Linked DNA regions of Coturnix japonica. Each later gene encodes a partner of the first gene's protein in a complex. Links are inferred from orthologs where the notes say so. Each region holds a gene or a part of one and is shown on either strand. Other genes may lie near its edges.

What was found.
Region 2: GTF2E2 (region 1) and DNA-directed RNA polymerase II subunit RPB11-a share a complex: the UniProt entries of both Homo sapiens proteins name them as parts of the TBP-based Pol II pre-initiation complex. The link is inferred for Coturnix japonica from reciprocal best matches to the Homo sapiens genes GTF2E2 and POLR2J.

Annotation. Positions count from the first base shown.
Region 1 is NC_029519.1:30,647,395-30,661,979, forward strand, and holds the end of GTF2E2 (transcription initiation factor IIE subunit beta), read left to right. Parts: coding exon 1-59; intron 60-7,661; coding exon 7,662-7,777; intron 7,778-8,809; coding exon 8,810-8,926; 3' UTR 8,927-9,734; downstream 9,735-14,585. UniProt on the Homo sapiens protein: Recruits TFIIH to the initiation complex and stimulates the RNA polymerase II C-terminal domain kinase and DNA-dependent ATPase activities of TFIIH. Both TFIIH and TFIIE are required for promoter clearance by RNA polymerase.
Region 2 is NC_029534.1:3,073,567-3,089,100, reverse strand, and holds DNA-directed RNA polymerase II subunit RPB11-a, read left to right. Parts: upstream 1-6,788; 5' UTR 6,789-6,867; coding exon 6,868-6,920; intron 6,921-7,057; coding exon 7,058-7,147; intron 7,148-7,252; coding exon 7,253-7,427; intron 7,428-8,380; coding exon 8,381-8,416; 3' UTR 8,417-8,759; downstream 8,760-15,534. Other genes in the region: ras GTPase-activating protein 4-like, read left to right, coding at 2,211-2,267, 2,414-2,527, 2,688-2,749, 2,832-2,955, 3,038-3,119, 3,203-3,334, 3,407-3,498, 3,573-3,696 and 11 more; LRWD1 (leucine-rich repeat and WD repeat-containing protein 1), read right to left, coding at 8,976-9,116, 9,797-9,921, 10,498-10,659, 11,218-11,315, 11,624-11,764, 11,850-11,922, 12,899-13,106, 13,518-13,627 and 4 more. UniProt on the Homo sapiens protein: Core component of RNA polymerase II (Pol II), a DNA-dependent RNA polymerase which synthesizes mRNA precursors and many functional non-coding RNAs using the four ribonucleoside triphosphates as substrates.

The DNA.
Region 1 (14,585 bases):
TGATAAGAGGCAACTTCTTTACTACAATGACAAGAGCTGTCATTTCTCTGTGGACGATGGTAAGTGTTTATTTACATCTGCATCCATGGTTTAAATTCAGCTTAGACAGCTGAATGTGAAGATAACAGGACTAGCAAACGAGTTCAGGGATAATAACCTCTGTTTTCTACTGAATGCATTGGTACATGGCACCAGGAACCCTACAATTCAAGTGTAGCTGAACAGAAAAGACTAAGAGTTGTCCATCTGTGGCTTAGATGACATCGAATATTTTGCTGCAGAAAAGCAGATGAAGAACAGTGGAATTTCTTTTGGGTTTGTGTGCTGCTTTTTGTCCCAATTTATTAGTCATGTACTTTTGTTGGTGAATGCAATGAGGAACCAGGAATTGAAGAAAAGGAACAAGCAGACTGGGAGGAGATGTGAGCAAAAGTACTGGGAAGAGTTGGTTTACGACTGGGAGGGCACCCTGAGTGTGGGCTGGTGCTGCTGTCTAGAGCTGGGAGTGGAACTCCAGAGCTTCAGCCTGTATTTTTTATCTTACAAATAGTGGTAAAGTCCTCTGACGTGAGTGTGCCTGTTGGCTGAAAGCAGCAAGAGGACAGGTTATACAATAATATATGTATTTACAGAAATTAGTTACGCCTGTCAGGGTGTGTTGCAATGATGACATCAGAGCCAATATCAGATATCTGTAAGTACAGAAGGGAGAATGCATTCCCTGGTAACAGACCTTATTTTAAATGGCTCAGGGACGCTGAATACTTCATGTTGATCACTTGTTGTTCCGTAACATGCCACATGAAGCCATATTCCAAAGCGTCACATGATAGTAAAAGAAGGAAAAAGTTGTCATCAGACCTTAAACAGCTGTATGTGCAAGGCCATAGAACAAAACGTAAAGCTCTTTTGTCTTAGAATAACTCAGAGGAACTCTTTATTTTAAACAGAATCAAGCAGCTTCTTTGTTCCATACCAGCCTTGGATTCTCATTTACTTAATAGCTTATTTCTGCAAAGATAATTTAGGAGATGTCACCTACAGCATTTAAAAGTATAAAGATAGTTTCAAAATATTATTTTAAACTGTAATTTCTTGGTTCTTTATAGTGGGAGTCTTAACAGTATATGAAATGAGGGATCGTAAGCCTCAATCGGCCTTTATTGGGGAGTTTGTATCTTCCCAAATGCCTACAAGTTTACCATTCATACTGTCAGTCTGTTCAGATTGTGTTTCTTGCGTCCATTGGCTCATGGCTTTCAGGATTCCTCACTTTGCCAGAACCTTTAAAAATCAGCTCTATTGCAGGCAAAGCTTTAAGTTTTTTAGCAGCTACTGGTTATATTACACTCCCAATTGCTGATCATTTCTTTTCCAGATAATTGGCACCCAGCTATTCTAAAAGAGTTAGCAGGATCTCTATTCTATTGCTTTCAGCTTATGGTAACTCCTGGATCTACTGGGAAATTGAATCAAAGGGTCCATTTTATTGAGAAGTTCAAAAGAATTCTACCAGGTCTGTTGAGGTGCCAGTACAGATCTGAGGCTGTTCGTATACAGTCTTCAGGTATTCTAGCACATGCGGCACTGATCAGTGCAGACCTTTGCTATAAAGTAAGGGAAAATGTTTTGTTGAAAAAAACCAAACCAAACAAAACACAAAAACACCAACAGAAAACATAAAATGTGTAAGCCGGTTGGCTCAGCCTCCCACTGGGAAAGGCCTGCAAGCCCCTACTGTCTGTGATGAAGGGACCACTAACTAGCATGCAGTGTGTTTGTAGTTCAAGATGGCCTTGCTTGCTTTCATCCGCAGGTGGCAGCATGTTCCCATCTGAGCAGAAAAGGATTCTTTTTGTTGTTCTTTTGTGCTGTTTTTGACTTGTCTTTGTCATGCAGAAGATGATGCTTTGTTCTGAGAGAGGAGGAAGAAAAATCTCTCTTAACACAATTTGTGATCTGCCTGCATATGCCACAACTCTTTCAACATTCCTGAGTGGGCTCACTTTGCTGTTGCAGCTGGGATGGGTCCTTTTTCCAACCATGTTATCCTGAGATGAGAAAAAACCCATCCTTCCTGAGCAGTCTTGCTTTGAGATTGTTTCCAGAGCCCTGGAAGCACGTCTCTTAGGGAGTCCTTGGCAGAATTGTCTCCGTACAGGATAAGCTATGACACGTTCCTGCGTTAGCAGTGCTATTTCAGCTCATTATCTCCAGCAACATTAAAACTAAGTTTTTTAGAAGGCTGCAAATAAGCCTTGAAGTGTTGTCAGACTCTTTGATCTAACAACTGATGATAGTTCAAAATATGTTTCTAGTTTAATGCTTATCCTTAGAAGTAAGGGCTCTGCACTCCAGTACGTGGTTTTGCTCCATGACACTCTCCAGTTTTGAGCATATGTTGGCTGGGGTTATTGTCCTCCATGGTTGCTCTCCCCTTGCTGTCTGAGCACCATCACCACTCAGTAGAGAAAGAGGAGCGTGAGGCAGTTTGGAGGTTGCTGCCTAAAGCAGTGGGACGAACTGGCAGTGCCTGCCTCTGCCCTGACCGCAGTTGTTTTGGTGGCTGAACAAGCTTTTCTTTCTCCCCTCTTGAAAACAAACCCCAGTGTACTTCAGAGGCAGTGCAGTACCTATATCGTGATCTCCAGGATACTGGGGAAGGTATGTGTAGTGAGGAACGGCTTTTGTTCTTCCTCTTATGTGATTAGCCAAAGAGGGTTCAGATTGCATGTGTTCCTTCTTCACTTCCTGACTAATTAATCTTCTGTCAGTAATGTGTAGCTGAAAGGGTTTATAAAAGCCGGGCTAGATTTCAGGTGCTTCAGCCAAGGCAAGCACTGCCTTTTTGTGCTGGGGCTAAGCACTTTGCATGTGAAGCAAGCTTTCACTGAGGGCCTGAATGCTGAAAGGCCACTCCAGTTGCTTCGCTGGTAGAGATGATGTTTTTCACCTCTGAAGGAAATGTAGGAAATACCGTAGTGCCCAGAAATGTGGATATTTGATTATACGTATGTTTAATATTCTTCCTAAGCACCTTTGAAGAGATTTTAAAGAATGGGCGAAGCCTATTAAATTTCACAGTATAAAAATTGCTCAGGATCAGTTGATGATTTATAGTTCTGGCCTTGAATTACAAGATGGTCCAGGCACAGCACTAAGTTAAAATCGGGTACCTTGTTTTTTCCTGGTATAAATGCAGAACTGTTACAGAGCAGGATTTCACCTTCCCTACTGCTCTTAATTTCTTTCCTTCTGCCCTCTCCGCAGAAGTGTTGTTGTCCATGCTTGTCCTGTACTCAGGTTTTAGCTCAGCTCAGTGAAGACTCTTAAGCTGTTTTTAATCTCTGACAGATTTTATTACCAGTATGATACAGAAGTTTATCTCCAGATCCATCTCAACCTTTTTGCAAGAGCGGGCAAGACAATCAGAGCTGCAGGGTAAGCTGCAGGAAGCCACCGTGCAGCCACTTACCCATGACACTGTTTCCCAAATGTAAGCATTTATGGAAGGAGAATGCGTTGGATTATAATAGCTCAGGGAACAGTGGCGAAAATTGCTTTTGTCTATGAGGCACCCCAGGCAGTAAAGCTGCAGAAACATCCTTACCCCTCAGGTATTTCACAGAGGAAGGCCATTTACAGAACTTCTGTTGTGCTGCCCTCTGTTCTGCTATGTGTACTTTTCCTGCTGGTCCAGGTTCATTGTTTTAAGTCTGTGCGTGCAGGCACCTTGATGTTAGGGATGCTAGCAAATACTGAAGTAGCCTTTCAGTCAGCCCCATTCCCTCCTTCACTATCTGGAGAAGCAGGGGAGCAGCCCCTGAGTTGTGCTAGTTCAGCCAAGCCTCTGGGTTGAAATATTTTAGTGATCAAATTGCAAGATACCGCGTACAGCAGGATTTGTTCACTCAGGGTGCTGCAACTGCAGCTCCCTGCCTGTTTTGGCAAAGACCTGCATTGCCATCAGATCTCCCTATGGTTTCACAGCCCCAGTGTTGCTTTGGTCAGAAACTCTTTGGAAATTTCTTTCCAGGGGATTTTTTCTCAGCTCTGTATTGTCATAGCAGCTGAAGTGACAGGAGTTGGCAGCTTGTCTGAGTACAGCCTGCTGTGGTCAGGTGCAGCCTTCCTTCTTGACTGCTGAACGGCCCTTGCTTTCCATAGTTGTTACTTGTCCTGGTTTAGCTATAAAATAGTTTTCTGACTCTGAATGAAGAGTCTACCACCCTCACCATGCTCTGCTGGCATAAAGATTGCCCAGCAGTTGACGGGACATAGGGAGGGAAAATAGAAAGTACTTTGGGATTGCCGCGGTTTTATGTGTAGCAGGAAGGCATGCATCTGAACCTGTTCTCTGTGCCTGGCTGGAGCAGGCTGGTGTGCAGTGAGCTTTCTGCTTCAGCAGTCCCCTTCCTGCTCTCCACACCAGGTTTCTGCAGGCCAGTTCCTTGTCACTGGCCCCTCTCGTTAACTACTACAAGTGGTGACTCTCTTTTTTGTGAGGAGTCGCAACAAAGGCCGGGGTGATGGTGATTCAGTTTCTTCTCAAAGTAGCTGGAGAAATCACATCCTGTCATGGATTAAGGGTATGGATTTTAGGCCTGGAGGGGCAGAAATGTGGATGGCTATTTCTTGGGAGTGGTGGTTATTGCCAGCTTTTCACATAGGCTCTCATGTTTCAGAGAGGATGTCACAGTAGTTCACAGTGTATTCCCAAGGTCTAAACTTTCACTAGCTGATAGGGGCATAGTCCTTGGTGACTGAATAAATCTGACAGGTAATATGGAAATGGTTCACTGCCAGCCAGCCAGCTGCTCTCTTTCTTCATTTCCTGCATTTAGTTCAGTATCTGGTGTGACACGGAATTGGTTTTGTGATGAGATGATAGATGTACTTCTTGGCTCTTTAGATGGAACCCTGAATACAAACCACAATTATGCACGACCATGTGAATGTGTCCTCACCTTTATGCTGTTCTTCCTGTTCTGAGCCAACCCTTTAACACAGAATATTGCCAGGGGACAGTTTTATTGTGATTTTCCACTTTCCCGGGCACTAAGGTATTTTAGTCCCGGCTGTGGGACTTCACCACGGAAGCTCTTCTGCAATTACTGCAGTCAGAGCTACAGTGCTTAGAGCTGCCTGATTGGTGGAGGAGTATTTGAAAAGAATGGCTGAGTACTGTGCAGTGATTCTGATAGGGCCAATTAATGAATTAAACTGTCTGTACTTAAAGCCCATTTTAGCATTGTGATGTTATTGGTTCTTGGTGACTGTTAAGTTTATATTTCTTGACCAAGATTAAAAGGTGAATGTGAAGCTGTAATGATGGTATAATCACTGCATTACAAGAAATGCAAAATGCTGTGGTTAGATATTAACTGTAGCCTGCACTTCTGTTGTTGTTCATCCTTCAAGAGCTGACCATTTATTTTCTAGCGTTTAATTTTTCACTTCTGTTCTCCAGAAGAATGTAAGCTAGTTAACCTTAAGTACCTATCCTCTGCTTGGTTTTTTTGTCTTTGGGTGTTGTTTTTTTGCATCAAAGCATAGTTTTCCATGTATCGTGCACTCTAGTAAGGAGACAGGTCACTTGTGTTTGCAGCACAACATGGTAGGAAGAAGACCACTGTTTTGTAAAAGTTCAGAGCGACCAATTCTCTTGATACCATCACCCAGTGTGCACGTGCCTGTCACATACATCTGAAGAGAACTGCCTGCATCTCTCACAGGGCTTGTCTGCGCAGAGCTAAAGGCAGCAGAGCACAGCGTGGCCTGAAAGCATCTCTGCCTAGAATCTGTTTAATATTTATGTGTTTACATGCACTCTTCTCACTTCATGCATGAATTGCAGAAACACATGGTTGGGAATATGGTTTCTTGCAGAAGTGTGATACTGAATTTGCACAGCCATCGTGTTATCCTTATTTCCAGCCACCAGCGGGTCTGAGTGTCCTGCTGAGTCCCACTTGGATGCTCAGGACAGGGAGAAAGAGCTTGAAGGAGTGTGCCCTGCTCAGCCCGAGGGATGCACTAGGACCCTTGCTCAGGCTGCAGCCTTTAAGACTGACATCTGAGTGCTTATTGCTTAGAAGTGTCCTCTGTGTGTTTGGCTTTGATCTTAACACAGCCCTGTCCACCTGCTGCAACAGGATGAGGTGAGAGATGATCTGTGAGAGCAGGTACCGCAAGATACCCCAAAAGCCAGGAATCACACCAAAAATGGCTGAGTGGACAGAGAATGTTTTGACTTCGGTGTCACTCCTTGCATTAAGTTATCTGAAATTTGCTGTCTGAATGATTCTGTTGTGCTGCACAGCCTGAACACGAGCAGTGGGCTGAGCACTATCTGCTTGTAACCAAAAGTGGTGCTCTGACGGGGCTTAGTTCTAAAAAGCACTGCGTTACCAAAAATGAACATTTGCTGCTCTTCCCTGGCAGAATTCCTTTCTTTTGTTTCCGGAGAAGCTCGAACAGCCCCTTTCTGTTGGCAATGGGAAGAAGGAGCTGAGACTTAAGGCATGCCCATTCTGAGAAAAACAAGATGCATTAGGAAGGGAACAGCCCAAGTGCAGGGTGGAATTCTGCTCTTTACAGCTCTATACAGGACCATTTAGTTGCAGTGTGCCCAGAGCTGGTGTGTTTGTGGCAGATTGTCACTGGAGTGTTTCATCGCCTGCTGCATAGGACAACTTCTTACGCATGCAGAAGTTGTGGTTGTTTTGACAACTGTATACAAAATTTATCTGGAAATAAAGGGGAAAATTTAGTCTTGCGTTGCTATGTGCGCCTTGTGTTTTATTTATAGATTGTTAGCCAAACCTGCTGACAGGATATATCTAACTGACTGCCTGGGGAATGAAGGGAGGTAGAACTGTACCAGCCGCTGCCGGGAGAAGGCATTCCAGAGGCTCTGTGAAACTTTACATGAGGCAGAAAGTGCTCAGGCAGATGGCAGCTGCTCTAATTAAGACTTACTGTCTCTGCTTTTTTTCCTGCTGCTGTGGTTTTTAAGGTATCTCTCTTCTTTTTAACATCAGAAGAATTCTAGTAATTTATTATCCATACGGCATGGTATGTATTAGATTACAGCGATAAACGAGCTTGCAACTGCTGAAGTTAAATGTCTTCAATCTTCAGTAAATTGGACTAAGAGATGGCAAGTCTCCCATGACAATGGCAGTGGAAGATGTGTAAATGAAGTTGCCATTTATGGTTAGTTATTACCTTTCACCAGGATCATTTGAACTGAGGCTTATAAAACACACTAACAGTCTGCTCTGCCACGGGGGTGCTAGGCAGAAGGATGAATGCTGCAGAAAATTACCATTAAACAGACACATTTTGTCTGTGGGTGCCCCTGAAGCTGGGATGCTGGGGTACGCCTAATGCAGATGTGAATCAGCTCATCTTTTTCCATGAAGCACTGGGAGCTTTTGTTGGTGGTGGGTTTTGGAAGTGCATCCAACTTTAAGAGTGGGTAAAGGCTGTGCTAATTGGGTGCCTGCTGGCAGCAAAAACTGCATTGCAGGCTGCTGTATCAGAGTACTTCAGTGTCAGAACTCAGATCTGTTTCTTCTTTCCTTTCGTGCAAGGGCTTTGCCTATGGTTTGGTTTGTTCACTGAGTTGTGAAACAAGGGTTTGTTTCGTGTTTCAGAGTTTCGGAAGCTGTGGAGGAGCATTCCCATGGATTCTATAGATGAGGACAAAGTTGAAGAGTACCTGAAACGACAGGGTATTTCTTCCATGCGAGAAGCTGGACCGAGGAGAATAGTAAGAAATACAAATTGCAGATCTTTCTGAAAAATTCCCCCCCTTGCTGACCCTCCTTGCTGATGTTAATTCCTGCGCCTATGCACAGCTGCTTTATGTAGCTCAAGGAAGTGCAACCAATTTTAAGAAGCTTCAAAAAAACAATGCTGAAGCCAGCAGCCAGTGTTTTTGTAACTCGTTTCAGCCAGCGTAATCCCAGCAACATCAAGAAGAGGGCAAATGCCAAAAATCCCTGAGAACTCCAAAGTAGAAGCTTCTCCTTAAAGCTGTACAGTACGTTAGGAGCAAAACAATAGCAGCTCTTTTGGGAGAAGATTTTCTCTTCCCTTTTTCTTTTCTGCTGAACAGCCTTGAAAACGCTGATAGGAATTGTGTAACCCGCCTCCCACCACTCTTGGGCTGTTCCCCAGACAGAGTGCAATGTGCTCATGCTTTACTGGTGGGCCAGAATGGCAACAAGATCTCCAAAGATGCTTTCTTCCTGGCTTAGAACAAGTTTGCTGTTTTTTCTTTTTACATTTACTGATACATGGTTTACCATCTCTTTTCTCTTCTGCTCCTGGCTTCAGACTGGCCCTTCACAAAGCCCTTCCACACAGGATCTGTTCTTGGTTTCTGCCATTGCTACAGTGGATGTTATAATATGTGCTGTAATGTGGGCACTTCTCTTGTGTTCCGCTTATTCTCTATGTGTCTTTGAGCACATCATTGTAGCTATGGGCTGTCTGCCTTCTTCGGTAGCTCTCTGGGAGTGTTCAGAAATCCCACTTTCAAACAAATGCCAGCTCTCCTACAGTGCACAAGATACCAGGAGGCTCTGCCGCATCCCCAGTGCCAATTCCCCGCCAAGATATGAATTCAGTGCAGTTGCTTCCTGCATAAAGACAGTTCGCCTCCTGCCTACTCCTTCTTTGCACACAGCTCCCCTTTGCAGTGAGGTTAATGCTGCAGGTAGCACAGTGTGTCCCACCTCAGGTCGGATGCTGCAGCTGGAAGGCAGATCTTTTAACTGCCATTTATTTCTTCCTTTAGGCTCCTGCTCAGAGGAAGAAACCCACTTCTCAGAAGAAACGTCGATTTAAGACTCACAATGACCATTTGGCTGGAGTCTTGAAAGATTACTCTGATGTCACTTCTGGCCAACAGTGACTGGCTGAATTTTGAAGCAAACAGACGTTTTTCCACAGGCTTTTTGCCACTCAGGCTCAGCGACTGCTTGCAGGAAGACTGACTCTGTACAGTAATGTGATGTGTTTCCCTCATCCCAGTGGCTGACAAGATGGAGCAGATCTGTTTAAAAGCAAGTTTGGACTACTAAATTTAGAGATTAATTTAATTAGCTAATTGGAAATGTGTCTTCAAATAAAAGGTTCGCTCAAATTGCCTCTTGGCATAGAGTGATAAATGGTGCTCAACATGAAATACAGGAGTTCCTGTTCACTGCTTAACTCTGCTTTTACATTGCTTAATGGGTGTTTACCTGGAATTACTTCAGAGGAGCTTTCGTAGAATTGAATACAGCATTGTTGTACCTATTTCAGGGAAACCTATTCCTAAAATCACTGCAGGCGAGTTTCTTTTACAGTCAAATATGCCCACAGTTTGTGTGTTCCTGCCTTGCTATGGAGTTGAACTTTACCAAACTGATGGTACCTGAGGTTCTGACTTGGAACAAACCCTCTCCAGAGCTCCAGGCAGGCTGCAGGGGGGCACTGCAGCTGCTGCTTCTCGATGCTCATCAGAAATTGCTCTCAGCTGTTTCTCCTCACTGCAGCAGATGCAGCTCTGTTGCACAGGCGATTTCTCCTCACTGTAGTGAATGTACCTGTGTTGCACAGTCCTACTGTTGGGTAGGGGAAATAAATTGACAGTGTAATACTGCAACTTTTTTCTTTTTTTTTCTTTTTTAAGTTAATAAACTTACAGTGCTTGTTTCCAGTGTTTCTTCCTTAAAGAACATGAGAGCGTGTACTTGTGTTTTCCTTTTCAAAGAGGTAAAGGAGTCTTTGGTGTGTTTTAATCTTCTCAATGACTTATTGTTCTGGGCTAACCCTGTCATCTCTCATCATTCTTGTTTGGAGGAGGGAGAAAACCACCTTAAATGAAAGCTCGCTGTAGATGCCTCATGTCGGTTGCAGTACAGACTGCCTAACATGGAGTGTAGCCAAATTATGTCTTCTTGATAACTTATTTTTATGTACTGAACCAAAGTCAGTCAATGCTGATATTGTTTTCACAGTGCTGCTGCAGAGGGGCTGTTCCTCAGCTCTTCTGGGGTTAGGATCAAAGATGAAACAGATGAGTGTGATACCTGCCAACAGTTTGCCGCTGCCTGCGCATGAGCTGCTGTCTTGCCTAATGTATCAGGATTGGAGCAGAGGCCGCTGGATCTGGGCACACCAACAGATGAAGAATAAGGCTTTGTTGGTGGAGTGCTGAACAGATTACGTCTGCTTGGGAAAGCGCAGGAGGAAAAATAAACTTCTGTAAGTGTAGCATTTATCCTTCTGTATAGTACACAAGCTTTTTAGAGTGTGCTCTTTTGTGAAACAGGCACTTTGAACATGGTACATGTCAGTCCTGTGTAAAGAGATGCTCAACACCAGTAGGAGGTTCCTTTTATATTTATATGTGTATATATAAAAAGCAGGCAGCATGCTGGTTTTGAAACCTGTTCTTTCCCTTTTCTTCCAGGTTAGCACAAGTGATTCATCTTGGAGCTTTTTACTTTTCCATTACAGCTCTGCTTTAAAGCACCCATGGCACACCTGCAAAACTGTTCTTTTCTGTCATCTTTGTTCAATGACAAAGATTCCCTTCTGCCTGCTGCATTTTTTTGAGCCGTGCTTTTCCTAGTGGTGTTGCTTGGACAAAAGCAGAGCTCTTGGTGAGCTGTGAGTTGCTTTTCATGCCTTAATGGAGTACCTTCCCAGTCATCTTGCACAGCCTGGCCCTGTGCTGTGGGCTGAAGCTTGCAAGGCAGGCTGTGATGCAGTTACCTGTGCAGTTTCTCCGCTGAAGTGATTAAGAGGGAGACTAAAGATGTCTCTGGCTACTTTCAAAGATGAAAATTGTATTAAGTCAAGAAATAAGAGAGCAGGAAAGGAAGATTAGCTTGGTGTGCTGTGGTGCCGTTGTCAGGCTCCAGTGTTCAAAGGAATAGAATGGTCCAGTAGATACCAAGTTAGGAAGAGTGGACCAGTTGCTTTCTCTTTGGTGGAAGTCTCTGCTGAACTAACAGGGAGGGCAGAATAAGCTTTGAAACTTGTTAGGGTAGAGTCACAAAGTTTGAGAATAGCTGACAGGATGCCTACACTAGCCCCTGAGAGGTAGCACAGATAAACAGTCATGAAGAAAATACAAGTCCAGAAAATAAGAAAGAGCTCCTCTCTTCTGTGTGGATTTGAAGAGATGAGTTCTATTTCTGTATCAGAGATGCTCCCAGCTGTCAGTCCTGTGTTTTTGGGTTGTTTTTGTTCCTCCTCCACTCCCCAAGTACCTCTTTAAAATCAAATAGTATATCTTGAAAATGTCTCAGACAGTGCCAACACGAGTCTGTTTGCTGAAAATATTTAGCAGCACTCCCATCCACTCACTCACCTCACAGCATAATGTCCAAGTCAGTTTTTTTGGTGAAGTTTAATGTAAGAGATAACAGCTGTTAAAACCTTAAGCCTATTTTATCTTCTTCCACAGTGTTCCCATTTATATTCTCCATGCAGGGTGCTGGCCCAGCTGCTACATCACCTTGTCCAGATTAGCCAGACGCAGAGGGGTGTTCAGCTCCCCCTCTGTGATGCTGATGGACATATGGACAGGACCCCGGGGAAGAGACAGCTTTCTCTCAGTGTCAGAAGCTCTCAGGTATGTCAGCGCTGCCCACGTCATCCCTTTGCTTGCCTCACTGAATCTTTAGCCTGTAGCTGCAAGGAAGCTGTGGGGAGGAGGCGTTTTGCCCTCGTAGTGGATAGCTGTGAGCTGAAGTGGGTCAAGAGAGGTGTGAGCTGAGCCCATCACTGCACTCAAGTGAGCATCCAGGCCGGGCACTGCTGGGTATGTGCCTGCTCCTCCCCATCATCAGAACAAAAGCCCTGTATCTTGAAACCAGTGCAGGTGAAATAGCCGCAGGGAGTCGCAGCTCTGAGCGTGGAGGTCTCTTGGCTTGTCTCCTAAAAGTTGCTCTGGGGAGGAGCTGTTCCTCCTCCCGTTACAATGATCATTCTGGAAGGGGATGGAAAACAGCAGGATTTAGCATGGTTGAATGAGAAAACTGACATAAGACAGTTTGTACAAGAACTTATCTATAATTCATCATGATCATACCAGGCTTTTAGAGAGCAGGGCAGGGAGGGGCAGGGAGTCCTGCTGCGCAGCGTAAAGCCCCCACACGTGGATGCGGCTGGCCTGCGCTGTCACTTCGATGAGCATGGGCAGGCAGTGCTAGGCCACTGGGGATGGCTGGGCCCCGCTGCCTGTGGGTGAGGAGGGGCTGCAAGCTGCAGAGAACTAGAAGAAGTCTTGGTACTGACATCTTATTATTTCCAGCTTCGTTGCTTGCTTTCCGGTCGCTGCTTATGTACCAGGCTGGAATTCCTTAGTGTGTTACTGCTTCAGGGACTGCTGGCAGCTACTTTTCTGGGAAATCATATCTGGTAGGACTGAGGGTGTACCCACCACCAACTGAGGGTCTGATGGCTGCTGGGGAGAGCTCAGCCCTTGGTAGGCTAGACCTGAGACCCTTTTCTGATTGCTCATTTCACTCAGTGCCGCCCAGCTTGCAGTAGAAGCAGGTCTTGCTGCAGCTTGCTGGCCCCATCTCTGCTGCTTTGGGGTGCCGGCACATGCTGCAGGCCTGTCAGACAGCTATGACCTTGAGAACTTCATTTGGGACCCACGTGGTGTAGACTGTCAGCCTTGTGGACTGCGTGTTGTGCAGAGCAGGGGAAAGGATGGGAGGGCAGGAGGTTTTGTTGAGTTAATTTTTTGACTGTACCTGCCTTTCTGGGCTTACATCCAAGGCCTTGAAGTACTTGTGTGACTTCCTCCCGTCTCCCGTGGTTATGTTGCATTCTCCATTCCCTCCTGAGCTAGTTATTAATTATGGAGGCTGAGGAGACAAAGTCCAGACTCTGCTAATAGTTGACTTACCCATATTGTAGAGGCAGCATTTCAGTAAGCTGCTAATGGTCCCTCTCAGCTCTAAACCCCTCCACCACTTTGGTCTCTGGCCTATGGGTGGCACTGAGCTTGAGTGTTGAAGGCCAGCCTCAGGTCTTTTAGGCCTGCTGTGCCTCCCTGCTAGCTTCCCTCCCAGCCTGCCTCACCAGCAACTGTGTGGCCATCTCTTGGCCCCATCCTGCTGCCTAAACCCCGGTACTGTCCCCTCTTTCCTCTCCTGGACCTGTTTTTCCTTCACACGACTCCAGCAGAGCCCTGTGGGAGCACTGCCACCTGGCCTCGGGGCAACCCTGTCTGCCCTTTGCTCCCTCCCCCCCAGTACTCAGTGCTGAGTGGTTTGGGGAGCCAGCAGCGGGGCTTTCCCCCTGCCCTGGGGAGCAAGGGCACAGGAAGGGGCTGCTCTCATTCCCTCTACCTGGCTCAGCCTTGACCATTGGGGCTGGAGAGGGAAGGCCTTGGGAAAGTGGCAACGTTGAGAGTGCCTCTCCCCATCTCGTTTTCTCTAGCTTTGCCTGTGCATACCCATGGGATTGGCCGTGGCACTGGGTGCCAGCTTTGGCCTGGAGCTTCCCAGCACTGTTTTGCAATGCTATCGGCAGGGCCTTCCTGTAGGCGTCCAGCTGTCCCAGGGGGAGTGCAGCCCCGGCCTGCATGGGGAAAGGTCAACGCAGGCAGAGGGGATGCCGGGCCTGGGCAGGCAGCCACTGCTCCCAGCCCTCATCAGCGAGGGGAAGGCCAGCCAGCACAGCACTGAAAATATTTTAGCATAGAGGAAACAAAAGAAGGGGCTCAGGATGTTAAATGTTTTCAGCTTCTTTTTGCAGGGCAGCTCTTGCCATGAGCTCCCTCAGCCTGAAGCCACTTGCTGCTGTGCTGCTTCCCAGCGCGCTGTGCCTCGTGCTGAAAGGGCCAAGGGTACAGTGTGGGCCGGTTCCCACTGCTCTGAGCCAGGCAAGATGTGCTGCTCAGAGCGAAAGCTGTGACCTGCAGTGGCCGTGGGTGGATTAGCATCCAGCACTGAGGCCTTAACCCGTGGCTCATCTCTGCCAGCTGTGCGTGCTGAGTGACACCGTGCCTCTTGCCTGCCCCAAGCAGCGAGCTGCATGTGCTCACGTCCTTCAGATGCGCTTGTGAGACCGAGCTTACTGCTGGTACCATGCTGCACGAGCCTGGCTGCTGCTGGGGCTCCTCGGGGGACCGCCCACAGTTATTGGGATGGGATTGATGGAGGAGGAATTCAGAGCTTGGGCTGATGGGATGGTTTTTGAAAATTCTCAGTGCGTTAAATAATAATAATCTGGCCCATCGTCTCTAGGTTACGTTTGCCTCATCTGCAGCTGAGCTCATGGAAAATCGCAGCTTAGCTCCCGCACTCAGTGCCAAGATGGGGAGTTTAGAAACAAACCGATAACATCTTTATAAACTTGGAGAGTTTCTTACAGCTTGCTGCTCCCCCATCCTGCCTGCTGCAGCTCTCCTACAGGCTGAAGCTGAGCCGGGCAGCTGCTGTCTGCCCTCCAGGCCTTGCTGCTGTGCATTGTCCCCTGTTGAAATCACAGTACGCCACGCTCCACGTGTAACTTACAATAATCACTGGCTTTATTTTTAAAAAATTACAATAGAAAAGTAC
Region 2 (15,534 bases), on another chromosome or scaffold:
TGGGACCCCCCCCCTGCAATGCTTTGGGACCCCCCCCCTGCAATGCTTTGGGACCCCCCCCCTGCAATGCTTTGGGATCCCCCTGCAATGCTTTGGGATCCCCCCCTGCAATGCTTTGGGATCCCCCCCTGCAGTGCTTTGGGATCCCCCCCCTGCAGTGCTTTGGGATCCCCCCCCTGCAGTGCTTTGGGATCCCCCCCCTGCAGTGCTTTGGGATCCCCCTGCAATGCTTTGGGATCCCCATGTAAAGCTTTGGGATCCCCCTGGGGTGGCTCCGTGTCTCTGTCCCTCTTCCAGCACCTGCTGCAGGGGCTGCTGTCCCCATCGGGTGGGGATTTCAAGCTGTTTGTGTGTCCCAGCATTATCCTCACCGCTCCCATCTCTATGGGGCAGGATTTGAGAACAGCGCCGGGTGGGATGGGGACAGCACAGGGGGGGACCCATCCATGGGGAGCCACCTCGGAGCGCACTGCGGGCGGCTGGAAAAGCAGCAAAAAACCCCGCAGCCGTCATGGAAAAAGAGGATAAACAAGGGAAGAAGCGCAGCTTCTGGTTTTTTTAAGCCCCGTGTGTCAGGGCTCGTGTTTTTCAGTCCCTTGGCACGAAGCCCTGCGGGGACCTTGAGCCGGAGCGGGGGGGGGTTTGAGGGCTGTGCCTTTGGGAGGGCAGAACGTGGCTTGGGATGGTGCCACGGGCACAGCTCCATCCCCGGGATTTATGACCCCCCCCCGTCCCTTCTCCATTGGGATCGCTGTGATTTCCCCATAGAAATCCGAGATGTCACAGCGCTGCTGATGGATCACAGTCCGCCCGCAGCCGCCCACCCGCAGCACGGTGTGTCCCCGGGCACGCTGACACCGCAGCCCCATCGTTCTATCTCATGGCAGCGCTGTGATATCAACGCGTTTCACGCTGTTTCCATGCTCAGCTCCCCTCCTGCCGCTCTGTGCTTCCCCCTCCCTCCTACGAGCCCCTGCCCGGCGCCTCTTTGGCACCAGGACCCCAACACAACTGCCCATAAAGAGGCGGAATAACGCTCTGCCCTATGGCACATCGCTGTGCTGCTCCTGCATCCTCAGCGCAGGAAGACAAAGAGCATCCCCTGCTTTGTGTGCGGGGCAGGTGGCATCGTTGTGTGTGTGCTCAAATGGTTTGCACAAGGCAGGAAATGTCAGCAATACAGCGGGGTTAATGATGCTTCATCCGCCGTGTTCGTGCCCAACCTGCCCCTGCTCTTAGCAACCAGCGTGACACGGGGCTGCCCTGCGTGGGGACACCTCGGGATGCAGCTCCATGGGAGGTGACAGCGGCAGCTCTCAGCTTCTCCTTGTTCATTTTGCTTTCCCCAACCTGCTGCTTGTTGCTGCAAACCCACCATCCCAACCATGTGTCTCCTCCCCGACCCCTCCTGTCCCCTGTGCTCCCCCTGCAGCTCTGGGCTCCAGCATTACAGGGAGCTGCCAGCCCCACATTGAGAACCCAAAGCCCTTCGCCCTCATAGTTTGGTTCCGCCAGCTCCGCCGCCTCCGGCCGCAGTGAGTCACCGTCCTCAGGAACTGAGCTGGCCATAAAGTGCTGTTGTTTTGGCAGCAGCTCGCAGCAATGGTGAGCTGAGCTGTTGGCAGCTCACTGAGCATCGCTGTGACCAGGGGTCCGTGTCACCGCAGTGTCCCCAGGGTTGGTCCCGTCCCTACAGAGAGATCTGGATTCTGGGTCCATTTGGGGGCTGGAGGGTGTATGAGAAATTGGTAATCACAGCCTGAACCTCTGATTAATCAGCTGAGGCAAGTGTGGGGTCAGATGTGGGAGCACAGGTGAGAGTAATGGAGCTGTGCTCCTGGAAGGGGTGGAGCTCGACTCCACCTCCTCTAGACCCCATTTAAGGGCTGAGCACCACTAAGGCAGCATCTCTTGGGGATTGCTCCCTGGTGGAGATTGCTTCAGTATTTCCCAGTGAAGGCATCCATATGGGTGAGATTTCCTTTACAAATAACCTTTTGAATATTTGCCATCATCTTTGTTACCATCTTCATATCATTCAACCTTACAAGGGGGCTGTGTTGGCTCCTGGAGCTCCTGCTTTGGGGAAAGGGTGGGATTTGTTTGTTCCCTTTCCGATCTGGATGAGGAGCTGCCAGCAGGATGCTGTGATCAGGGCCTGGAAGTCGGGGTCACTACAGTGCTAATGGGGTCATGCCATTGCCTTCCAGCACGGGGAGCAGCGACCCGTACTGCATTGTGAAGATTGACAATGAGGCCATCATCAGGTGAGCCCTGCTGCCCACTCCCATCTGGGTCCCAAAGCTTGAGACATGGACCCCAGTGCCAACCCATAAACCACCCCAGTGTGGGTGCTGTGCACCAGCCCTGCTCATCTGATGCTGGGATGTCGCTGGCTCCATCTGTCCCACAGGACTGCCACGGTGTGGAAGACACTGTCCCCGTTCTGGGGGGAGGAGTATGAGGTGCAGCTCCATCCCACCTTCCACAGCATCTCTATCTACGTCATGGATGAGGATGCGCTCAGGTACAGGCAGAGCACTCTGGGGACAATGCAGGGTTGGGCTGGCAATGCTCAACTCCATAGCAGACAGCAGAGAATCCACACCTGGCTGTGCAGTTGGAGGCTTTGGGACATCCAAACTGCCCGGCCACCCTCCGTGCCACCTCCCTGTTGTGTCTTGCAGCCGTGACGATGTCATTGGGAAGGTGTGCATCACCCGCTCCATGCTGGCAGAGCACCCCAGAGGTAGGGGGCAGCGGGGTGTCCCCAGCCCTACACCCAGCCGTGTCCCCACACCCTATGCCCATGGTGCCCACTGGTCCCATAGGATACAGCGGCTGGGTGAGCCTCAACGAGGTGGACCCTGATGAGGAGGTGCAGGGGGAAATCCACCTCCGTGTGGAGCTCCTGGAGGGCGGGCAGCGGCTGCGATGCACCGTGCTGGAGGCCAGGTGATGTTGGGGATGGGGACGTCCCAGTCATGGGGTGATGGCTCTGGTGGGGCCTGGTGGGATTTCACCCTCTCCTCCACAGGGATTTGGCCAAGAAGGACAGGAACGGTGCGTCCGACCCCTTTGTCTGTGTGAGCTACAATGGCAAAACACAGGAGAGCACAGTGAGCTCAACTCAGCGTATCCCCTGATGTCCCCATGGGGGTGGGATGTGTGTGCCATGGGGCCAGAGCCATCTCCTTTGTAGGTGGTGAAGAAATCCTGCTATCCTCGCTGGAATGAAGCCTTTGAGTTTGAGCTGCCCAACCCCCCTGCGGAGAAGCTGTGTGTAGAGGTGTGGGACTGGGACCTGGTCAGCAAGAATGACTTCTTGGGCAAGGTGAGCCCTCAGAAACACCCTGTATGGCCCCATTACTGGGGTGGGATGTGAGCCCGTCCCACCCTCCCCCAGGTGGTGGTCAGTGTGCAGGGGCTGCAGGCAGCCGGGCACCAGGAGGGCTGGTTCAGGCTGCAGCCGGACACAACCAAACCCAGGGAGGACAGGTGAGTGTTTGGGGTGTTCCGGAGGGATGTGCAGTGGGGTGCATGGTCTGGATCTGCTCTCCATGTTCCTACAGGCGCCGGGGCAGCCTGGGCTCACTGCAGCTGCAGGTGAGGCTGCGGGATGAGACCGTGCTGCCCTCTCACTGCTACCAGCCCCTGGTCCAGCTGCTGTGCCAGGAGGTGAAGGCAGGGCACCAGGTGAGGCACTGCAGAGCCCCAATGGGACGCGGTCACAGTCATTACCACTGTGCCACCATGTCCTGTGTCCCTGCAGGCCGGTGGGGTTCACCTGGTCACCCTCCTTGATGAAACCACCACGGCCGAGTGCCGGCAGGATGTGGCCATCAACCTGGTGAAGCTCTTCTTGGGCCAAGGGCTGGTGAAGGAGTTTCTGGACCTGCTCTTTGAGCTGGAGCTGGCCAAGCCCTGTAAGCCTGAGTTGGGAGCAGGGCTGCGTCTTCCTTACCTTCATTTGGAGCTGTAAAACTTCTGGTGTGCTCTGGTTGGGAACACGTTGGGTTCATCATCATCATTGGCTGTAGTTGGTGGAGGAATGGGCAGGTGTTTGGTTGGAGAATCCCTGTAACTCCAGGGTAGGGTAGAAATGCCTGGTGGGTACCTGGGGCTGCTCCACTGGCTTCCTCCTGTTTCTCAGGTGAACCCAACACTTTGTTCCGGAGCAACTCCCTGGCCTCAAAGTCAATGGAGTCTTTCCTCAAGGTGCTGTTGCCCCTAAATCCCCCTTGTCCGCAGGAAGCTTCACCCCAAACCCTGCTCCTTCCAGCTCACCACAGCTCCATGCTGTCCTAAGGGAAGGACATGGGGAGCTGTGTCTGCCTCTGGGGCCAAGAGCTGGAGAAAACCCCCTAAGGTTGGGTGCTGTGGTCCCCTGGGCAGGTGACAGGGATGCAGTACCTGCATGCGGTGCTGGGACCCACCATCTCCAGGGTGTTTGAGGAGAAGAAATACGTGGAGCTGGACCCCAGCAAGGTGGAGATCAAGGACGTTGGGTAAGGGGCACAGGGGCTGCAGTGGGTGGGGGTACTCAGAGTCCATGGGACTGATGGGGTCTGTGCACCCGCAGGTGCTCGGGGCTGCACCGGGTGCAGACAGAGAGTGAGGTGATGGAGCAGGGCCGCCAGCTCCTGCAGTCCTACCTCGGGGAGCTCTTAGATGCCATCAGTAAATCGGCTCCTACCTGCCCTCCTGTCATCCGTGCTGCTTTCCGGCAGCTCTTCCAGCGTGTCGGGGAGCGCTTCCCCCAGCATCAGGTCAGCTCCAAACCCAGTAGTGGGGATGGAGGAATGGGGCCAATGGCTTGATGATGGGTGACTTAAGTTGGTGGGGGGGCAACCAGCCCAAGGCAGGGGGTTGGAACTGGGTGGGCTTAGGGGGAAGTTCTTTACTAGGAGAGTGGTTAGGGCCTAGAACAGGCTGCCCAGGGAGGTTGTGGATGCCCCGTCCTTGGAGGTGTTCAAGGCCAAGTTGGACAGGACCATGGGCAACCTGATCTAGTAAAGGTGTATGTTTGGTGGCCCTGCCAGGCAGGGGGTTGGAACTACATGATCCTTGAGGTCCCTTCCAACCTGGGTCATTCTGTGATTCTGTGGGCTGTGAGGATCATCCAACCCTGAAGCATCATGAGGGATGGTGCCATGGGGATGGACCCTCACACATCTCTTGCCCCCGGTGGCTGCAGCACACTCAGTTCGTGGCTGTCACCAGCTTCTTGTGCCTGCGCTTCTTCTCCCCCGCCATCATGACCCCCAAACTCTTCCACCTGAGGGAGACACACGCTGATGCACGTACCAGCCGCACGCTGCTGCTGCTGGCCAAGGTGAGCTGGGACATGGGCACAGCGGGGTGGCACTGGGGGCAACGACTCCACCATGCCGTGGTCTGCAGGCCGTGCAGATGGTGGGCAACATGGAGCCAGCGGCAGGGAGAGCCAAGGAGGAATGGCTGGCCCCGCTGCAGCCCGCCCTGCAGCACGGAGCCTCCCAGATGAGGGCCTTCATCACCCGCCTGGTGGGCACGGAGGAGGAGGAGGGTGGAGAGGAGCAGCCCTGTGCCCCCCGCAGCAACGTGGTGAAGGAGGGGCTGCTGTTTGTCCATAAGACACGGGGCAAAGGGCCGCTGCTTGCTTCTGCATCCAAGAAGCTGCACTTCTGCCTCACCAGCGAGGCACTCAGCTTCAGCAAGAGCCCCGGGGCAGAGGTAGGGGGACGTGGGGTGGTGGGATCCCATGGTGGCACGGAGGGCACCGAGCGCTGTGTCCCCAATGGCAGAGATGCGGCTCCATCGCTTTGGCCAACATCCGAGCGGCCGAGAAGGTGGAGGAGAAAAGCTTTGGGAGCTGCCACGTCATGCAGGTGGTCTATGTGGATGAGGCCGGGCAGCAGGAGACGGCGTATCTGCAGTGCAAGGTGGGCTGGGATGGGGACGGGGCTGTTTCCCATTGGGGTACTGTGTGACCTCGCTGTTTAACCCGCAGTGTGTCAATGAGCTGAACCAGTGGCTGTCTGCGCTGAGGAAGGTGTGCGGCAACAACCCGCAGCTGCTGCGCTCCTACCACCCCGGGGTCTTCAGGGGGGATAAATGGAGCTGCTGCCACCAGAAGGACAGGACGGGTACGGGCTGCTGGGTGGGGGGTGGGGGTGGTGATGTCCCCGCTATTTTCAGCCCCTGTTCTGTCCCATAGGACCGGGCTGCGGCCGGACCCGGCACAGCATCACCCTGCAGGACTGGACCGACCCGCTGCAGCCCGACGTGGAGGCGCAGCGGCTCTTCCAGCACCTGCACGGGCTGCAGCAGCCCCTCAGGTGGGACCCACAACCGGGGGCAGCCCCCAAAGCGCCCCCTGCCCCGCGGCCAACAGCCCCTTTATCCGCAGGGAGAAGTGCCGGCAGCTCATGGAGCCGGGGGACCCTCAGAACGGAGAAGGTAGAGAAAGGACCCCCAGCTCCCCATCCCCCCCATAGGCGCTGTGCTCTGGGGCTGCTCCCATTCCCGGGGGGTCTCACCGCCCCGCTCTCCCCCCCCCCCAGCCCCACCGCTGACCCCCGCGCTCCGCCGGCTCCTGGATGCGCTGCAGGACCTGGAGCGCTGTCACCGCCGGCTGCCCCCGGCCCAGCCCCCCCTGCAGGAGCTGCCGGAGCCGCAGACGTGACGGACGGACCGGGATGTGCCGGGATGGGGCTGGGGGGGGGGGGGGGGGGGGGGTCGCAGCGTGGCAATAAATGCGCAGCTCCACCCGCTCCGTGTCCGTGCCTTTATAGCGCACTGCGCACGGTCCGCCCGCACGGCAGGGGGCGCTGTGGGCGGAAGTGACGCTGTGTGCGCTGCGGGGAGCGGTGCGGAGCCGGCGGGATGAACGCGCCGCCAGCATTTGAGTCGTTCCTGCTGTTCGAAGGGGAGAAAAAGTGAGTAGGGGGCGGGATGGAGGATGGGGGGGGTCCGGTGGGGGGTTGGGGGCTGCCCGGACCGTCCCGTGCCCCCCCGGTTCCCCCCATGTCCGCCCGGGCTGTGGCAGTGAATCGCCGCCCCCTGTGCTGTGTAGGATCACCATCAACAAGGACACCAAGGTGCCCAACGCCTGTTTGTTCACCATCAACAAGGAGGATCACACGCTGGGAAACATCATCAAGTCGTGAGCTGAGGGAGCTGGGCGCTGCTTACAAGTGCTGGGGCTCTTATAAAGCTCTTACATCTATTAATGTATGTTTGTTTGCTGCTGCTTTGCCTCCTCCCCCAGGCAGCTGCTGAAGGACCCCCAGGTGCTGTTTGCAGGTTACAAGGTCCCGCACCCCCTGGAACATAAAATCATCATCCGCGTCCAAACGACCCCGGATTACAGCCCCCAGGAGGCCTTCACCAACGCCATCACCGACCTGATCAGCGAGCTGTCCCTGCTGGAGGAGAGATTCAGGGTGAGCTCAGTTCTGAGCACTGCGAGAAGCCCATCCTTTGAACCTAAGGGAAGGGCTCAGCCCAGAGCTGCTGCCATCTCGAAGATGATCAGGGGGCTGGAGCACCTCCCCTATGAGGACAGGCTGAGGGAGTTGGGTTTGTGCAGCCTGGAGAAGAGAAGGTTGCGGGGTGACCTCATTGCAGCCTTTCAGAACCTGAAGGGAACCTATAACCAGGAGGGGAGTAAACTCTTGGAAAGGGCTGACAATAGCAGGACACGGGGAAATGGTTTGAAGTTAAAAGAGGGAAGATTTAGGTTGGATGTCAGGGGGAAGTTCTTCACTAGGAGAGTGGTCAGGCCCTGGAACAGGCTGCCCAGGGAGGTTGTGGATGCCCCGTCCTTGGAGGTGTTCAAGGCCAGGTTGGACGGGGCCGTGGGCAACCTGATCTATGGGGTCTCTATGGGGAATCTATGGGGTCTCCTGGGCAACCTGATCTAGTAAATGTGTATGTTTGGTGGCCCTGCCAGGCAGGGGGGTTGAAACTACATGATCCTTGAGGTTCCTTCCAACCCGGGTCATTCTGTGATCATCTAGTCCAACCATTCCCAATACTTCCCGGCTAGATCATACTCAACAACACAACATCCAGACGTTTTCTTGAACACTCCCATGGTCGGTGACTCCACCACCTCTCTGGGCAGTGCATTCCAATGCCTGACTACCCTTTCCGCAAAGTAAAACTTCCTAATGTTCAGCCTGAATCTCCCCTGGCGCAGCTTAAAACCATTCCCTCTAGTTCTATCACTGATAACACAAGAGAAGAGGCCAACCCCCAGCTCACTACAACCTCCCTTCAGGAAGTTATAGAGCAATAAGGTCTCCCCTGAACTCATGCAGTTGTTGTTTGATGTGAAATTGATGAAATCAGTGTTTAAACCATCCACTGACGGTTCTGTTTCTGTTCTTTACAGGTTGCCATTAAAGACAAACAAGAAGGAATCGAGTGAAATCAGCCTGCTCTTAGTGTGATACACTGCTGATGAAGAACGATGTGTCTGAGTGAAATGCTTTATTTAAACCTTCATTCAATGCCAATTACTTTCCTTCCAGTCCTACTGACTTTGGCAGCAGTATTGGGAGGGGATGTTTGTATCTGACATGTCTTGTTTGATTTCATGGCTTAATTCACTAAAATGGTTTTCACTTTTCTAACTGGAGCCTCACTGTCACTATGTGCACTATGCTGTAGCTCAGTCTCACTGCCCTTATGGCAATGAGGAGATGCTGAGTGGCAATAACGGGTCACAGCCCTGGTTTCCCATTCCAAGAAGTTCAGATTCTGCCAGCAGAGTTGTTGTTTTGTTTTATTAAGTGTCATTTCTATAAAACAAATGCACAAATTGTGTAAACTTACAGGAAAAAAGCCTGGATGACTGGATGTGCTTAACGAACTCTTTTACCTTTTGCACGTAACAGCTGGTCTAGAAAACTTTATGGTTATATGGGTAACAGTCACTAATACTGCACTATTTCAAAACACGGGGAATGAACTTCTATAACAAGGAACTATGACTTCTTCCAAATGGCTGTAATGTTCACACTAGTGAGAGCAACAAGGTAAGTGAAAGTAGGGTCTGTTATCACGTTGTTTATGTAGACTTCGCTCAGGTGTTCCCCATTTGCTTGAAGCTCCGGCCATTTGAGAATCTACAGGGAGAACAGAGTTTGTGTAGGAAAGGAATGGTATCATTGTCCATGAAACTTGGGCAATATCAATTATTGCAAAGCCTGGTTTGACAACTGGAGCTGGGTGGGGTCCAAAGAGGTCACATCCCTACCAGATACAGTTAGAGCTAAGACCACACGTGCCTCACAGCCTTTGTGAATGTGTAGTTGTTAGGGCACACTACTGACCCACAGCAGGAGTGTGCTCAGGAAAAGAATGAGCAAAAGAGAAGCAGGAACACAGGCCAGAAGCTTCCCCTTCCCCACATGCAGTTCTACCAAGGAGCAGCTGCTGCTGTTACCTCCACTCATCCAGACAGGGAAACAGTGGCTGCACACCAGACAGCAGCGCAGGAACAGCTTGTGTTGCCAGGCCATATATAGTCAAACAATCATATTTTTTACAGAGAGGCCTTTACCCAAGGAAAAGTTGACAAGCTGCAGCACACAGGAGTGAACAAATTTGCTTTGCAGCTCATAATCCCTGTCATAATTGTGTGTGTGATTGGAAGTGACCTTGGTCACACTCTGGAGATTGGTTTTAATTGGCTGTGAATGTTAGGTAGAGAAGATACGAGGCATGTTCTGGTGTGAAACTCAAGAGAGCTGCCCTGGGGAGGAAGGGAAGCACAGCTCTGACACAGAGGGTAAATGAGACCTACCTGTGTGGGCGGGATTCTCTTGTCTGAGTGTTTTCCCTTGGCAGAGCTCCATGCTGTGGTGTAGTCGGAGAGGTGGTAAATCCACACACTTCCCTTCTCATCACCGCAGAACACATGCAGTTTTGCTGTAAGATTAAAAGAAGAAGCAGGGAAATTAGAGTGGAGCTGAGGGTCCATTCTATTATAAAGCTGAGCTCCAGGCAGCGCTTTACCCTCTCAATGGAGGATGTTACATTCCATCAGAATTATCTTTCTGGCACCAAAGAAAAACCCACCCCACTAAACTACCCAGCTCTGGAACCCCCATTCGGACTCCATAGATTTGAAAAGCAATGCTCAGATCAGGTTTCTTTACTCCTCATTAGCCTTACACTGCATTGTGACAGGTGTATCACAGCGAGGTAAAACACCTCTGCCTTTAAAAGCCAAGGAACAGCCTCAAGTATTTATATGCAGCAGGTGCCCATTAGCTGCACTGTGCTGGGATTGCAGTGCTGCAAGTTAAGGATTCCTGTTGCTCACAGTGGCAGGCCAGCTGTGCTCTCTTAGCCTGGGCATTAAATCCACTCCTCTGCTTTAAACAACAGGCTCCTCCAGCAAGTGGGAGGCATTTGCAACTGTAAACAAGTAAACCTTGAGCAGTATGGCAGCCTCTGGTGCAGCCTTGTTACTTGGGAGTGCTGAAGAAGGGTGCTGCCTACCTGGGCAGGTGCTGAGTGTGAGATAAGACAAGTCTGTTGTGGACCACTCCAGTTCAGCTAGAATAACTGCAGGCACTGTTCGCTGGCTTCCTTTCCTCTTCGTGTCAAAAGAACAACTCCAGCTCCATAAGTAAATGCATCCTGGTTTGGAGCTCTTGGAAACTAGGGAAGAAAACAGAAGATGATGTAAAGGTGCTGAGAAGTGCTTCAGAACAGCTGGGGAAGGCAGTCCATCTAGAAAGTGGCTTTCAAGACATGGGATCTGACAGCAGCAGCAACTACTTCAGCTTCTTTTACCTTAATTCAGGATAATTGGAAATTTCAGGGGGATTCCCAGTCCTACACATGTTCCAAAACTGCAACAAGCAGAGCTGTTCAGAAAGACCCACTCTAGGCCTTACAGAGCCTCCAAATTGTGGGACCCAATCCTCTGCAAAGGGCTTTTAGCAGCCCTCCAACAGCAAAGGATTCTTTCCCTTCCATTTCAGCACTGCTAAGCAAAGTCTGCTGTGTTGGGTCTGTCTTTTTTTTCCAGCTCTGCTCAGACATGACTCCATATCTCATCTTTTTAGCTCAGTGAGTCTAGAAGGAAACTCCATTGAGTGCAGCCCTCCAGAATCTACAGTAGATGCAGTTACACCCCATTTACTTCCTCTGCATTATCCTTCCACACCGAGGTACCTGACTTCTTACAGATCTGGCCACCCCGTTTATACTCACCTACGACATCATCATTCAGAAAAGCCAAACCATCGACCCTGTGAGACGCTGACATTTCTCCCTCCTCATCAGGAAATTTGAATGAGGCTTCAAAAGGTCTGGGGAAGGAAGAGTGAAATAATTCAGGCCCTGAATGAGCAGCACTGAAAATGGGCTTAGATGCAGAACCCAAGGAATGGAAATCCATGTGTTAATCTCTTTCCAGATAAAGCAGATTAATTTCCTATTTGAAATCAATTATTCAGATACCTGGACTTTTCAATGCACCAGAAGCCTGCTTGCTTCAGGGCCGGCTATTTTACTCCCTTTCAATTTGGTGAGCCACGCTGCATTCCTGGCACAGACCTCCACATGAAATGAAGCTACGACTACTACTGTTGTTACAGAAAGCAACTCTTGCTCTCACCTGCTTTTCTCTTCCTTCTCCAGCTTTATATTCCATGCATAGCAGCCTTCTTCACAGCCAGCCAGCAGGTATTGCTCTGGGCATGTGGGGACGAGGGCAATCCGTAAGGGTACAGACAAACACTCCAGTACCAGCAGCTGGCTAAAAAGAGAACAGTGAAGTGGTGCTGTAAAGCAATAGTTACAGGCTCTTAGACTGGCCACATCTATTTTTTTTGTACCTTTACCTTGCTTTGAAATTGTAGTCACAGTCTGGAATTCCAATATCCCACAGCACAATTCGCTTGTCATAGGATGCAGCTGTAGGACACAGAAGAGAGGCAGATAGTGACACAGGAGATTTTTGTATTAAATAAAATAAGCCTTGCTGTCCACACCTGAGCAACACTGTCAAGCTCATGAGCCCTGCACTACTAAGCAATACAAGGATGTGGTAACAACTTCCCAATCTAAGTTTCTGCTTTTTACACTCTTGGAAAGCACCCGTTGCAGCTGCCCTTGTTTTAAAGACATTCCACTTTAATGGTTCGTGTAACTGCTCCAGGATGTGAGCAATTGGAGGCAAGAGGGACAATGTGCCTTGGGGTGCAGGTGTGATCTGAATGTCCCTGTAACAGCTTACTTCACAGACCTGACAATGCAGCTGCAATTTGTAACACGATGGTTCATTTCGCACCACTCCTTACGCCTTAATCTCAGTGGGGCCCACTGCAGCTCACTTCTACCTCAAGACCTGGACAGAAATTTATGACAAGGCACAGAACTCTACAGATTTTCATTTATTTCAAAGCAATTAAGGGCACTGTTTTGCTCATTAGAACAACAAAACCCAACAGGCCAAGATATGCTGCACTGTCCCTCTTGCCATGCTTAACGAGCGCCCTGCTAGCTGGCTGCCTGCTGCCTGGCCCCCAGCAGGCTGCTCTGCCTATCATTCTTCTTACCCATCCCTGTGGAACGAATCCACTGCTGGAACTGTTTGTGGCTGGTTTGTGGCAGCCTGAGAGCCTGCACAGCAGGGAGCTACTGAGTGAGAAACTGGAGCTGCTGCACCTCAGCTAAGGAGTCAGACTGTCTGAAACAACTTGCACTGCTTTGGTGGCACCCAAAAAGAGCTCTCTGTGTAAGGCCTGTCTATAACTCATGCTTGTGTGGTCCCAGTAAACACTCAGCTCCCCACACCTGCTAGCAAGGGTGATGGATCCCCTTGTGAAGGAAGCCCAACCTCTTCCAGATGAGGTACTGAAGCTAAGGAGATTCTGAACCAGAGACTTACTGAAGAGGTGAGTTTTTTGAGTTGGGCTGAAGCAGACAGTTGCAATGGGCTTTTTATGAGCCTTTATTTCTCCGTAGCAGAAGTCAGCTGCCACATGAATCAGTTTGACAATCCCTCTCCTTCCTGCAGCTGCCAAGATATTATGAGATTTCTTCCGACTGTCACTGATCACCATTGGGAGAGTTGTCCATGCAACACTGAAGAACTCCTAGGACATAAAAGAGAGACAGCAGGAAGGCTGTTAGTTCAGAGATAACAGCTGCCATGGAGCAATCCAGGTGAACTGACATGACTATTTAGGCACAGGCACTGCATTTCAGAACACCTTTAGAAGAATGAAATCTAACCAAACAGGATGTTCATTTGTCTATGCTGTCAAGCTTTCTTAGCAGCTTGGATACACACACATATGCCTCTCTGAATAAGAGAGAGGCATAAAACTGATAAAACAAAAGCAAACCAGGCTAGAAGGACAAGCAAGAAATATTTACTACCCATCTTTTAAGACCTGTCCACAGTAATGCTTGTAACCTTCTTTCAGAATTGTTTACAACATTATGGAATTAAAGAGGAATCTGGAATTTCCATTTAATACTTATTGTTCATATTTACAACCTACCTCTGTAGCCACCTTATACTTCTTCAGCACCACCCCTGTTTCACAGTCGATCAGACAGACAGACTCCCCTCCACATGTCGCCACAGTTCTGGAACAACTCACAGTGGGATCTGAAAATGAAAAGAGAAGGTGAGAAGATCATGGATAACATATGAAGACTGCACACGGCCCGGTGCTCTCCCAGAATCCTGTTTTCATAAGTCGAAGTATATACACAAATCTCTTTCTGACAACAGAGATTACAGCTTGATTAAGCTGGTGTCTAACACATGGGGTCTGCTGGTTCAGGGAATCCTGAAAACCTCTTTAAGGGCTCACCTTTCCTGGGTGCACCGTCTAGCAATGGCTCGAAGACACAGGACCAGAGCTGCGTTTTAAAATCTTCGCGGCTGTTTCCTTTACTGTGACACTGGAGAAAATGCAATGGCTCTGCACTGAAATCCTCCTACAATAAACCATCCACATTTAGAAAATCCATTCCCCTGACAGTGGTTAGTGACTGCCTTGGGAGAACCCCTCTACCAAATACAGCAATCTGAGTTAAACCAGAGTATTTTTCAGCCCTCCTGGGCAGGAGAAATTAAGGTGCCACTGATGCTCAAGACACCCAAAATAGAAAGAAACTCTTTTAGAAAAGGTGTGTCCCGCAGACCCCAGCACTGAACTTTCTTCCCTCTTGCAGAGAAACATGAAAAACCCTTTTAGAACCCCACTGATAAGAGCTGAGAGGGAAACACTTTCCCCCATGCAGCCATCAGCTTGAGCAAGTCATGCCAGTCCCATTTCTAAGAACAGGCTTTAAGAGCACCAAATCTGCTGGTCCATCCATCCCTTGAGGAGAATTCACTGTGTTCAAAGTGGAGCCTTCCCTGAAATTTCAGAGATTTAAAACAAAAGAGATCACAGAATAAATCTGTATCTTACGATCCAGTCATGAGCTCCAAGATATGCAGAGCTCTCCTGACATCTCAGTGCAGCTCCTCCCACTAAACCAAGAAGCTGACAACCTGTCTCCCCAGTGGGGTGATGTACATACCTTGCCCTTGGAGTTCTTTACTGGGGTCAAATTAACAACCCCGTTGTCCTGTTCCTGGCTTTTCTGTTCTCCTGTCAGCTGGCTGGATCTCCTATTGCTTTGCCCTTTGGGAAACTGCTCTCTGTTCTTATGAGTCCCTTCATTTCCCTGCTCAGCGGTTGCCTCTTCGGCTGGCTCATTTGATGCTCTTGCTTTATCAGGAGCTGGGTCATCCTTCTCTTGACTGGAATTTTTGGGATTAGGGACAGTCTCCTTCTCGGTTTTTGCCTGGGACTTGGACTTCTTCCTTCCAGAACGTGATTTTGAACGATTTCTTTTCCTCTTTCTGGGAGTTACTGTGACCTGTAAGGCATGTTGTCAGTTGTCAGCTTCCCCAAGATGCACAGATGGTTTACAAGTAAGAAAGATCCTTTATTCAAATCCCCGTACCCTCCCAGAGTCACAGACCAGGTTCCAAAAATCAGACAGCCTGGACTTAAAGAAAAGTAAATTATTAATGCACATCACCTACCTTAGCCTCCTCCTCTGCAGCTTCCTTGGAGCTTTCTGCACTTTCTTCCTCATTCTCATCCCCGTTCTCCTCTGTTTCAGTATCTGTGTTTAGCTCCAGACCCAGTGAGCCAGTCAGAAACTCTTCTGCAATCATTTTCACCTTAGAAACAAATATGTTGATTGATATAAAAGAAAGACAGTAAGAAATCACAGCCAAACTCTGATATGTCATGACAAAAGTTGGTTTGCTGGGCTTTTAAGTATGTTCTCCCCCCATTTTACATGAATATCCTGGTATTATAGAGTGGTAACCTCTTCACAAAACAATGAGGGAAAAAAATGACACCATCCTCCTGAAAGAATCCTCTGAGCCCAAATCCACGCTGTCCTTCCATCAGAGCTGTTCAGGATCAGGCTGTAGAGCCCATGCCAGAAGAAAGGAGTGAGTGAAAAGCAACTTACCCGCCAGCGGGTGAATTCACTAAGGGA